3 linked regions of the Drosophila melanogaster genome follow. The protein of the gene in region 2 interacts with the protein of the main gene of each other region in a pairwise test. Each region holds a gene or a part of one and is shown on either strand. Other genes may lie near its edges. The genes, in order: Sox15, CG14634 and CG34353.

What was found.
Region 1: the proteins of CG14634 (region 2) and Sox15 interact in a two-hybrid assay, tested with the Drosophila melanogaster proteins (one large-scale study listed by BioGRID).
Region 3: the proteins of CG14634 (region 2) and CG34353 interact in a two-hybrid assay, tested with the Drosophila melanogaster proteins (one large-scale study listed by BioGRID).

What each region holds. Positions count from the first base shown.
Region 1 is NT_033778.4:14,210,331-14,214,089, reverse strand, and holds the start of Sox15 (Sox box protein 15), read left to right. Parts: upstream 1-1,676; 5' UTR 1,677-2,749; coding exon 2,750-2,802; intron 2,803-3,759.
Region 2 is NC_004354.4:860,605-863,856, forward strand, and holds CG14634 (uncharacterized protein), read left to right. Parts: upstream 1-2,003; 5' UTR 2,004-2,054; intron 2,055-2,131; 5' UTR 2,132-2,187; coding exon 2,188-2,469; 3' UTR 2,470-2,596; downstream 2,597-3,252.
Region 3 is NT_033777.3:27,904,128-27,907,886, reverse strand, and holds the start of CG34353 (uncharacterized protein), read left to right. Parts: upstream 1-2,043; 5' UTR 2,044-2,916; intron 2,917-3,759.

The sequences.
Region 1 (3,759 bases), on a different chromosome or scaffold from region 2:
GCCGCTGCCCGATCCCCCGCCCCGCACCTGTGCACATGCATAAATCGACGAATCCACGACCACGAATCCGCGAAGACTTGGGCCTCGCATCGCCGGCGGCAATTATCGCGATGTGATAAACAAATATTTTGCATCTATGGCAAGAGGAAGCGAAGGCTTTCCCGGCATTCTGGCGCTTAATTATGAACTCCGGCTGGGCTTGGGGATGGAGGTAGCCCCATCCGAGTACGAGTTTATTATTATTAAATGCCCTGCGCGTGGCCGCATGCACTTTTACCTGCCAACGTACTTGACTCGTCTTCTGGGAGGTTCGTCGCTTTTCTACCTCCTCATCTTCATCTCGATTTTTTTGTGCCTTTGATTTTTTTTATTTTTTGGGCTTGGCTGTGCGGTTCGCTGGCAGCAGTTGTTGCAATATGCAATTTGGCTGCTTATCTCCAGTTGGATACCAATCAGCTTGGCCCCAAAAACTTTGGTGGGTGGAGAGTGAAATAAAAATTAAATATGGCTCTATTTGAATATTACAGCCGCTTTCAAGGCATTGGGCTCACTGGGCGGATACTTAATGGACAGTAAGATGGTATTAAGATAAGCATTTTCAACTGTGATCTATTCCATGATATATATTTTATTAAATATATAAGAACTTTGTTTTAATGTTAAGAGAGTTGGTATAGTTACTATTGAGTTGCTGATCAGAGAATGTATTAGTTTTTGTGTAGATTTATGAATATTGTATCTATGAGCTACTTTTTGATTTACATTCTGTTAAAATCTATTTGATAGTGAACAAGATAGTATGACTTACTACTAACAAATTGTTTTGTAAGTTTAAACTCTTTACAAACTGCCTGAAAATCCCTTTCATTCCCATTTAGTCACCTTTTGATTAATGACTTTCGTTGCTTTCCATTTGCTTAGAGATTGCCAATTTAAACATTTGCGAATCTTTCGCAAAATCTCTCTCTTTCTGAAAGACGGTGCCCCATTTGATCCAAATAACACCCTTTTCCCAGAGGTTCCGAACATTACGATATTTGCATACGCTGGCTTCCGTGTATGGGTGCTATCCCCCCATCCGCTAGTATATGCATGTGCACATACAGACGTACGGTTGTGTATATATGGACCCCAACGACATTGGGGGCCTCCACCAATTGAAACAAACCAAATGCAAAGTTGTCTCTCCCACAACAAACGGATCTCGGGGAACAGGTTTTACATTTCTGAAAGTGAGACCGAGAGATCGCGAGAGTCCGAAACAAAACGAAACGAACCGAACGAACGAACGAATGAATATTAAACAAGCTCTGTGTTTCATTAGATTCAAAAGAACTCGCCGCTGCTCTCGGTTCGGAGGCTATGGGTAAAGTATACTTGTCTATGGTACGGCATAGTCTGGGAGACAGGGCCAAGTCACCTGGGCTCGGACCAGAGCCACTTGCTCGTTCCGCATCGATGAACAGCTGCTGCTGCTGCCGCTGCCGCCACTCTCTGGCTGTTTCGATTCAAGACTGCGCGAAAGGTTCAGCTTATGGCTTTTCGCTTTTTGGCCTTATGCACGGGCTCTGAAGGCAGAGACACCTCAGTTCGGTTCACAATCTCCCAGCTCCCCAGCTGCCAGCCGCCAGCTCACAGTTCCCCCAGTTCGCGAGAGCGTCGATCGGTCGTCGAGTTCAGTTGGCCTGCGGTTCGTCATCAGCGTGGTTCATGCGGCTCCGACTTTCAGTTCGCCTTTAACTCTGACTCAAGCCCTGGCATCGGCGGAACTCGGTAGTGACTCTGGTGGCTCTCCATTGACATCGCCATCTGCGTCCCCGGGCTGTAATCATAAATATATATATATCTACATACAAACTGGCCCGCTGTACATAGGCCCAGTTAGTTAGTTTGTTAGTTAGTTAGTTAGTTACTTGCTTAGTAGTTGCTGTTGTGCCGTGAATTTTCATTTTCCCAAGAGCGCTATCCGCTGTTTGTATCTTGTGAAATGTCGAAGCCCTTGATTTTAGGCTACGGATACGTTCGTTAGTCAACCTTTAAACAGCTCGCTTTAGGGCCAAAAACTAATGAACAAGTGATTTTAAAGAACGTAGATCAATACCGGTAAAACTATGTAAAAAGTGACACAATCTGTTTAATAAAAAGTTTACATCGTTCCGGTGTTGAAAAGTATCTTTTCAACACCAAGTGCCAATCGAAAATCCAAATTTGAAGTGTGTATTTTTCAATATCTTCAAAATAATCACCAGTGAATAGTGAGATTCAAAAATATATTTACATCACTCGGTGATTGCGAAATTGTGGCCAAAATGTGGGTTAGGCTCTGAGCCACAAACAAAACAAAATCTGACAACAAATGGACGCAAATTCACACATGCCGTGGCACATAAATTTATGGTTGGAACTGTAACTGGGCAAAAATGCTCGGCCCGGCAGACATCAGTAGCAGTAGTAGTGGCACCACCATCACCACCAGCGAACCACCAACCGCCACCACCCACCAATCCACCCGAACCGCCGACAAAGGGAAAAACTAACGGAATAATGCAACATTAAGCAAAATGCTGCTGGCCCTGCTAAAGCAAAGCCAACAACAACAACAACAACACCAATTTCAACCTGCCACCACCGACGTCAGCAACAGCAAAAACAACAGCAACAACTACAACAACAGAAGCAACAACTGCAACTGCAACAACATCAACGTCACCGTCACCGTTACCACGAACATCGCCGTTGCCGTATAAAAATGGAACCCTCATATGATCACGAACATCCACATCATCTGCTAACAAATTACAAGTAATATTTACATTTTTCCCATGCTAAAATTTTTTTCTCGCTGTTTAATTATATCCAACCGAAGCGAAGATACATATCTTCAAGATAATAACCATAATGAAAAATGGAAAAGGCGCTCGTGTAGTGGTGAAGAAATTCTCTAGATCGTACATATATATATATATACAATAAATATGTATATACTTATATATATGGGGGCCCATGACTGCGACTTTTCAAGACTTAGTCACAATCACAGATACTAAGATACTAAGATACAAAGATACTAGCGGCGGGCACGACAGCGAGAAACACCGTCGGGGATGTCGAATGCACACTGTGGCAGTAAGCTACAACTATAAAGCACGGTTATATATGTATAAATATATATATATGGGGGTTATACAGTATATAGTATCTGGGAATTTGCTTAGATTTTCCTTGGTGTGGCCCCAGTTTTCAGACCCCGCAGCACTTGCACTTGTATTCGTATCCGCTTCTCGATTCTCTCCGTTTCCCTCGGCAAACGTAAACGTAAACGTAAATATGTAAATGGTCGACTGCGAATAACTTAAGAACCGTCTTCGGACGCGACTCGAAATTGGTCAAGTGGAAAGTAAACCAAGACGCCGGAGAAGTCGGCGGGGGTGGAGACCCTGGGAAAAAGCAGAGGCCAAGAACGCACAGGCGACGCACCGAGAAGAAGTCTTAACATTTGGTATATTTCGGCCAGAGGTCAGGCCATTATAAAGATTTGTATCCGATCTACACAGCTTGATAGATACGCATGAGGTTTTAATATCCATATATAAGTATATGACTGTATATAAGTATTTCCCCTTTATACGTATTAGCTAGCCATTTCAGCTGACTGACTTTCGTAGTTTCCGACGGGAAATTCCCGTCTACAAATTGGCTGGAATTATGAATGGAAATGAAGCCATGAAATTAAATTAAGTACAGATGAAAAGCTCTGAT
Region 2 (3,252 bases):
GGCATAGAAACCGAAAAGCCCCGCAAAGTATGCTCTGCAAATTGAAAATGAAAATGGAACACCGTGAGTGGGCAGGGGTGGCTATCTGTCTATGTGGATATCTGGCCGGTATCCACCCACCACCCACTTTTGCACGCGTCTATTTTGTGGTTATGCGCTTGGCTTGTCACGAACCATGAAACCAGAGCCAACTACATGCGAAACATGCAAAAAATTTGGCAACAAAAAAAAAGCGGGTCCAAAGGAGATTATGGAACTAGCAGATACCCTATTCATAACCAATAGCTTGTGTAGCAAAGATTTAACCGGGTCCTGCTTTCTTCGCTATAACAAATTTATAGCGAAGTTTTAAGCTGGGCAAACTCTTTCCGAGCTTCCGGAAAAGATCACGTTTTTTCGTTCATCTCAAGTCGGAACAAGTCCCATCTCCATAAGCACCCCAAACACACACACACACATGCGCAGATAAACGAACACTGCAAATGGGAACTTCGAAATATACAGTTCTGAAACCGCAATGATGGGGTTGACCATGTGAGAAGGACGAGCCCCAATGCACAGTCCTAGAAATCCAGGGCCATGGGAACGAAACTCCCACCAGAACAGACACATCACTTTTAGAATTACACGAGTAACAATGCCAGTCAGTTCACCCCAACCCCCCCCCCCCCTTCCGTACGTTTTTCTGGTTTATTTTCCCCTTTTAGCCTTACTCTGCGTTTTTCCGTTATGGGCCTGCAAATGACATTGATATTTTTCCAGTTTGCCATATTCGCGAATTCGGGGAAATGCGGAAAAGTGAGTAGAGTAAACATTTAGATTGAAAAGGCTGTACTCTTGATATTAGAGATTCGCAACTTTTTTCACGGGATTTTGTGTACATTAAATTTATTTGGCTTAAGTCAAGAGAAACATGTGTATCGCTTCACTTAGAATGAAGTGAATTAAACAGGAAATCCGCTGTGACTTGTGTGACATCATGGCAACTGCTTTCCCTTTCGGCACTTTCACCAATTTCACCAATTACCCCGCATCCTGTGGGTTGTTATCGCCGTACAAATACTTTGCCCACGTAAATCATTCATAAAAGTATAAATGTAAAGCAAAGTAAAGGGGATGGGGTTGTTCTTTTCGGCTTTTGTATTCAGTTTCAACTTTCGTATAATTACAAAACTCATTAGTGCAGAAACTTTTTGGTCGTCGACCCTTGGAAAGTATGCACTGCTAATTGAAATTGAAGTTGTTAGAGACGGAGGACGCTGGTCGCAGCATTTTTGCCAAGTCGGATAAGCAAACAGACCCCAGCAGACCATAGAAAACTCACCCTCTCATCTGAGGAGCTGGCCATATAGAAGGTTCTCTGGACTTCTGGAGACCGTAGAACATGCTGTTGGTCTTTTAGCCCAAGCGCAGTGCCTTGAGGATCAGCGAATTTTTTTTCTAAATGCAGACCGTGGAGTGTCCCATTGCGGGGTCTCCGCTTGCCACCTCCCTTCGCAGAAGTTCAGCATCCGTTCAAATGAACACCTTCAGCCGAAGCAGGTGCTGGATGGCTTATGGCATTGCGCTGGCATTGGCATCGAAGATCTCCTCGCTACACGTCCATCTCGTCTTTCACAGCCACCATCATCGGCTTTGATGTGAGTGTCGCATGGCTCACTCTTTAAATTCAATACGAAACTGGTGTGAAACCCGCGCTCTGCGCCTGATTTGCATTCGCAAATTGGTAATACAATAGGTAGTCGTCGGCTGCCGTTTTTCCCTCCCCTCCAACCGCCGAAACCCGATAGTCCTGATAGCGTGCACTATATACTGATTGGAGTGCGGGGCATTTGTGAAATTAACATAAGTGACACCATTTTGCATAATGGGAGTCTCCGAAAACAATTGTTGGGGGGCACCAGTCTAGTCCGATTCCGGGGAACACAACTGTACCCACAACAAACCCGCCGGCTATAAAAGCAGACAGCTCTGGGTTGCACTGCCTCAGTGGGAAGCTCTCCTTTCAGCTAAAAGCTGCGGGCGGCACAACATAAATAAAAGGGCCCTAACAGGTGGGAACTAAACCATCAGGTGATGGGTAACTTGACTTTGGCCTGGAAATTCTTTTATTGACTGCTGACGAAATCAGCCTGGCACATTCCCCCATCTTCGGCACTTCTACTTATTATTTCTAGCCACAGAAATATGTGCTTTCTCTTCCCACTTGGCTGCTGCGGCTGCTCCTCATCGAAGCCTTGCCAAAAGAATGGAAAGCAGCGGCAAGTGCAGCACCAGCCGGACGTCCTGGGGAACGTGATATCCACGGAGCCAGGCTACTTCAACCAGGTGACCATCAGCCAGCCATCGCTACCCAGCATGAGCCCCAGTTCAGTGTCACTGCCCCACCGAATAGTCACGTCTAGCACCTTGAGCTCCTGGGACGGCGAAGTCTGGTGGCCCAAAAGGGACTCCATCGAGGATTACTAATCCATAGTATCTTAGCAGAATTGATTAGCGTATCGCTGCACTACATAAATGTACGACTTACAAAGATGTTTGTCAAAAACTCTTATATTTAATGAAACTACCGACTCTGTTTTTAGTTCTCACAAAGAGTGTACCTATTATTTCTTTTCTCTGGCCACAAAAACCAAAAGCACAAGAAGACAATTCTTTTTCGCCTCCGCGAGTCGCACGTAGCCCCTGTTGGAGTATGCATTTTTAAAATGAAATTACTCCACGTTTTGCGGGAGACAGAGGTAAAGGATTCTTGTGGTTAAGACTGTGTAATAAAAATTTGATTAGCTGCTTGTTTAACTTTAATTAAGTTGATTTCGCACACACACTGAACATAGGAAAGTTAATCAAATATTTAGCAGGACCTCTTTGCCGTTTTCCCGTACGAGTGCCGCAGGGTTAAATTCTGTTTGGGCTGGGCGTATATTAACATTTTGGCTAAGCAAACTGGCGCAAGCAAACAAACAAATGCCAGAATATTCATGATGATCATTAACACACAGGACGCACAGGACACACAGCAGAAGAGAGCTAGCTTCCAGGATATGCAGTCCAGGAGCAGCCTGTGACGCCTGCGAACAAATTTGCACAGCCTTCGGGCGGGAGTTTAAGGACCCGAATACGTCTGCAGGCTCCACATTATGTCCTTGGCAAAGTGCTTCAACCTAAGCCATTAGGGGTAACTTTGCCAAGATGTCATTAAAATAAAAATCGAGAGCGTGTTAAATGATTTACAAAAAGGGCGGTGGAGCG
Region 3 (3,759 bases), on a different chromosome or scaffold from region 2:
TTTACAAAATGAAAACAACAGCAGCAGAAGGAGCAGCAGCAAACCGATGAGCACTGTCCAAAAAAAAGGGGTTGATATTTTAAAATCTTGCACCGATGACCTGTCAAAAGCTATGAAAATAAATAAAATAAAATATATCTCTAGTACCTTGTTTAAGGACTAAGGACCTCTTTACAATAGCAAAGCAATCTTATGTTTGATGGCACAAACTATACAATCGTATTTTTGCGTAGTTTCTCTTTTCCCAATTTATACATTCCACTTAAAAAATACGTTTTTATTCTTATTTTGCTAAATCAAATTATAGTGCATATCTGACAATTTTGCTCTCTGCAGCGATTGAGACAACAAACGACAAAGCAGCGATGGCACGATGCGTATTTAGAATGATTTTGCCCGTGGGTTGCATGGGATGTGGTTTGCTTTTTCCACTGGTCCATGTCCCGTGTCCCGTGTCCCGGGACATGTCCAATGTACATCTCGATGGCATTCCGGCGCACTCGTCATTGGGGCGAAAAACAGAGGACTTTGCACGCCATTGAGCTGACGGCACTCCGGCGGAAGAAGGAAAAAAGGACGAAAGGCACACTTGCAAATCATAAAACAACAGACGCGAAGAAAATGTTTTTTAAATCTTCATAAATATTCATTATGGGAGCGGGGCATGGCAAATAGTTTGGGGCTGTCGGCGATGCTGGGAAACTGGGCCTGGACACTGGCCAGTCCTGGCGAGTCCTGGCGAGTCCTGCGACTCCTGGATAAACAAGGAGCTGGTAACCATTGGCACTCTGAAGCCGGCTAGTGGGCGGTAAGCTTCATTTCGCAGATGGCAGTACAAGAAGTTTGCCAGAAAACAAAAACAGAAATGGCCAAAATAACAATAAACTGGCTCGAGGAGCCTAAGTAAGAAAAGAAAATGAATTGGGGGCGCATTTCAAGTGTGTGTCGGCCTTGAAGCGTGAAGATGTGGCCCAAAACCGAGTCGAAGTTCATGTCCATGGCCAAAATGGCCAAAATGGGCAGAATGGCCAATGGAACGAGACGAGCAGCAGAAAAAAAGCAAACAACTATAAATAACACAGAACTCCGATGGACAGAAGGACGCACCACAAAGCTGTCAATTAGCAGAGTTTCTTACTTAATTTTGGAATTTTCAAATATTTGGGGGAAACAAGAAGTCCAAAATAAACATCATGGCGTGGTGAAGTTTTGAGGGTTTTGGAAGATGTTACCAGATGTAACACTACATATTTGTACACTAGGTTGCTGCTCAAAGTAATGAAAAGATAAACATTGTTCGTTTATGCCAATTGGTTTTGTTTATATTATAAAAATATTCTTATATTTTCTTTAAAGAAAACTTTAAAATATTAGAGTTATAAAAATATAGTTAACCAAACAGTTCGAGCTAAGAGAAAATATCCCTTTTTTATCAAGAGAACATTTCCCACTTAAAGTAAAGCTGCAGAAAGCTTTAAGCTTTCGTATCCTTAGATGCGATTTGAAAGCGGTATCTCATTTAAAATTAGGTTAACTAAAATGAACACAGTTAAAGACATTAAAGGATATCATAAATATTAAAATTGCTATGCATGAAAAAAAAACTTATAAAATAAATGCATACACCTGCATTATTATTTTAAACATAAGTAGTTCATTTTGTTAAAAACTGAAATAAAATATCTTACAAATGCTTAAAACTGGAACATAAGTACTACTATTCCTACTATCTCGCCGCGAATGGGTTCCATAAGCCGCCCACTATATTCTCTCTTTAGTTCTGCGGCGAGAAATTTTCTCTTCGCTTGTGGCACACATTCATTGCGATTGCGGCTGTCGAACGGCAGCAAACAAAAAGAGCAACAGCAACAACCACACGCGCCAGAAGAGGCTCTAATACCAATTACATTGTGCGGGTCGTTCGTAAACTCCCCCCTTCCCATCCTGTCGTGCTCGCTCGGCTAACTGTTGAATCAACGAGTGGTTGCCGACGTGCCATTCGTCCGTACTCGTGCGACCTACGACGAACGAATCGTACGGTCTTCAGTCCTATTCGAAACGCGATAGCAAACGGTTGTGTGCTCTCGTCCCACTGCCACCGAAAAAAAGGTGTTTAAATTGAATCTGCACAAGTTTAAGTCGAAAATCGAACTCGCGGTACTTTATAATTAATAGTGAATTGAATTGAAGTCACTGAGGAAACCGCTAGAGAGAAATCAACTCTAAAATACTTTGAAACAGAAGTGTTAGTAAAGTGAAAGTAAACAACTATCATTCTGAAACCAAACCAAACCTTCCGTAAGTTTTCGGGCTTTTTAAACCGGCAAACCAAATCGCGGTTCGGGATTTCGGTTATAAAAACTGCTCCTCTCGCGTCGTCCCTTTACCGTTTTTTGGCACCTACGCGCGCTCTCTCGCTTCGCCAAAAATTTTCCGCTCTCTCGCGAAATACCGTTGGGCCTACACCGCTGGGCAAGATTCTAGCACCATCAAACTGGCGCATACACATTGCCATAAATTGTGATTAACCACAACGCAACCGAAAGCGACAGCAAGACGAAGATTTTTAATTAAATTAAGAGTGAAAAATACCAGCAGCCGCAACAACGGCACCAAACGTAAACAATCAGCGCCGGCAAATTAAATATTTAAATATTTGCACTCGGAAAATTGTGCGGCATTTTAAATTAGGACTCCCAGGCGGTGCAGCATCGCTGGGCATACTAAAGTGACATATCCCGTGCTCCAGTGATCCCCAAACATAAGCAAACGCCATAGACGGTGTGTGTGCCAAGCCAAAACACAGCCATTAATAAAGCGAGGAAAGGCAAATAAACAATCGGGTCAAAGTGCTTAGTCAGGCTAAAAGAGCCAAAAATCCGACAGGAAACAATAATCCGGAAATTTTGGTGCGAGGTAAGTCCCCTTCACCTGTTGAAAGTGGAGTCATCCTTAATACAATTATTCATATGCACATCCGCATACATAGAGCGCTGCATTGACGAGTGGCATTAAGAAAAATAAGGCAATTGCACAATTTAATTGGAGTCATTGTTTTTGTTTCGCCGCTCTGGCTGCATTTTAAATGCCTGTGCTGCAATCATTCAGCTGCATAATTAATATAAAATAAAGCTATACGATTGCCTTTTTTTTTGTTTGCTTGTATTCCTTGTCGCTGCTTTATTGTTTGTATTTTTTAACAATTAATTAAAAATATGTATGATGTGTTTTCGCACTTCAATTGGCTGCGAGAATTCTATTTTATTTCGTTTTGTTTGCCAGTTTATCATTTTTTCCACCCATAAATCGCCGTTTTGCCATAGGCTTTGGCCATGGCCAATTGCAAATTGCAAAAGGTTTGAAACATTGTAAAAATGCAGTTTATATAGAAAACAATTATGCGCCAGTTGCAAAAACACCGAGCGGATCTGATTGAAATGGCATAAATCCAAAAGGAAAACCAAATCTCTCGATGTGACAATCACAGTTCGTTTACTCGCATAATATGCCAGTCGAGCTTAATCGATTGATATCCGTATAAATTATGAATGCTTGCTGATCATTTTGCGGTGGTAGGGCACATTGTTTTTTAAATCTGCTTTGAAATTCAATTGAAAAAAAAATGCATTAAAACTCATCATTGTCAATCCTATTTAAATGGGATTAACTTTGCCTAATACAATTGTCCAAAAGGACAAATTCATAAATAGCTGCAAATAGTTGAATACTACATATAAACATTCTCTATTTTGTATAAAA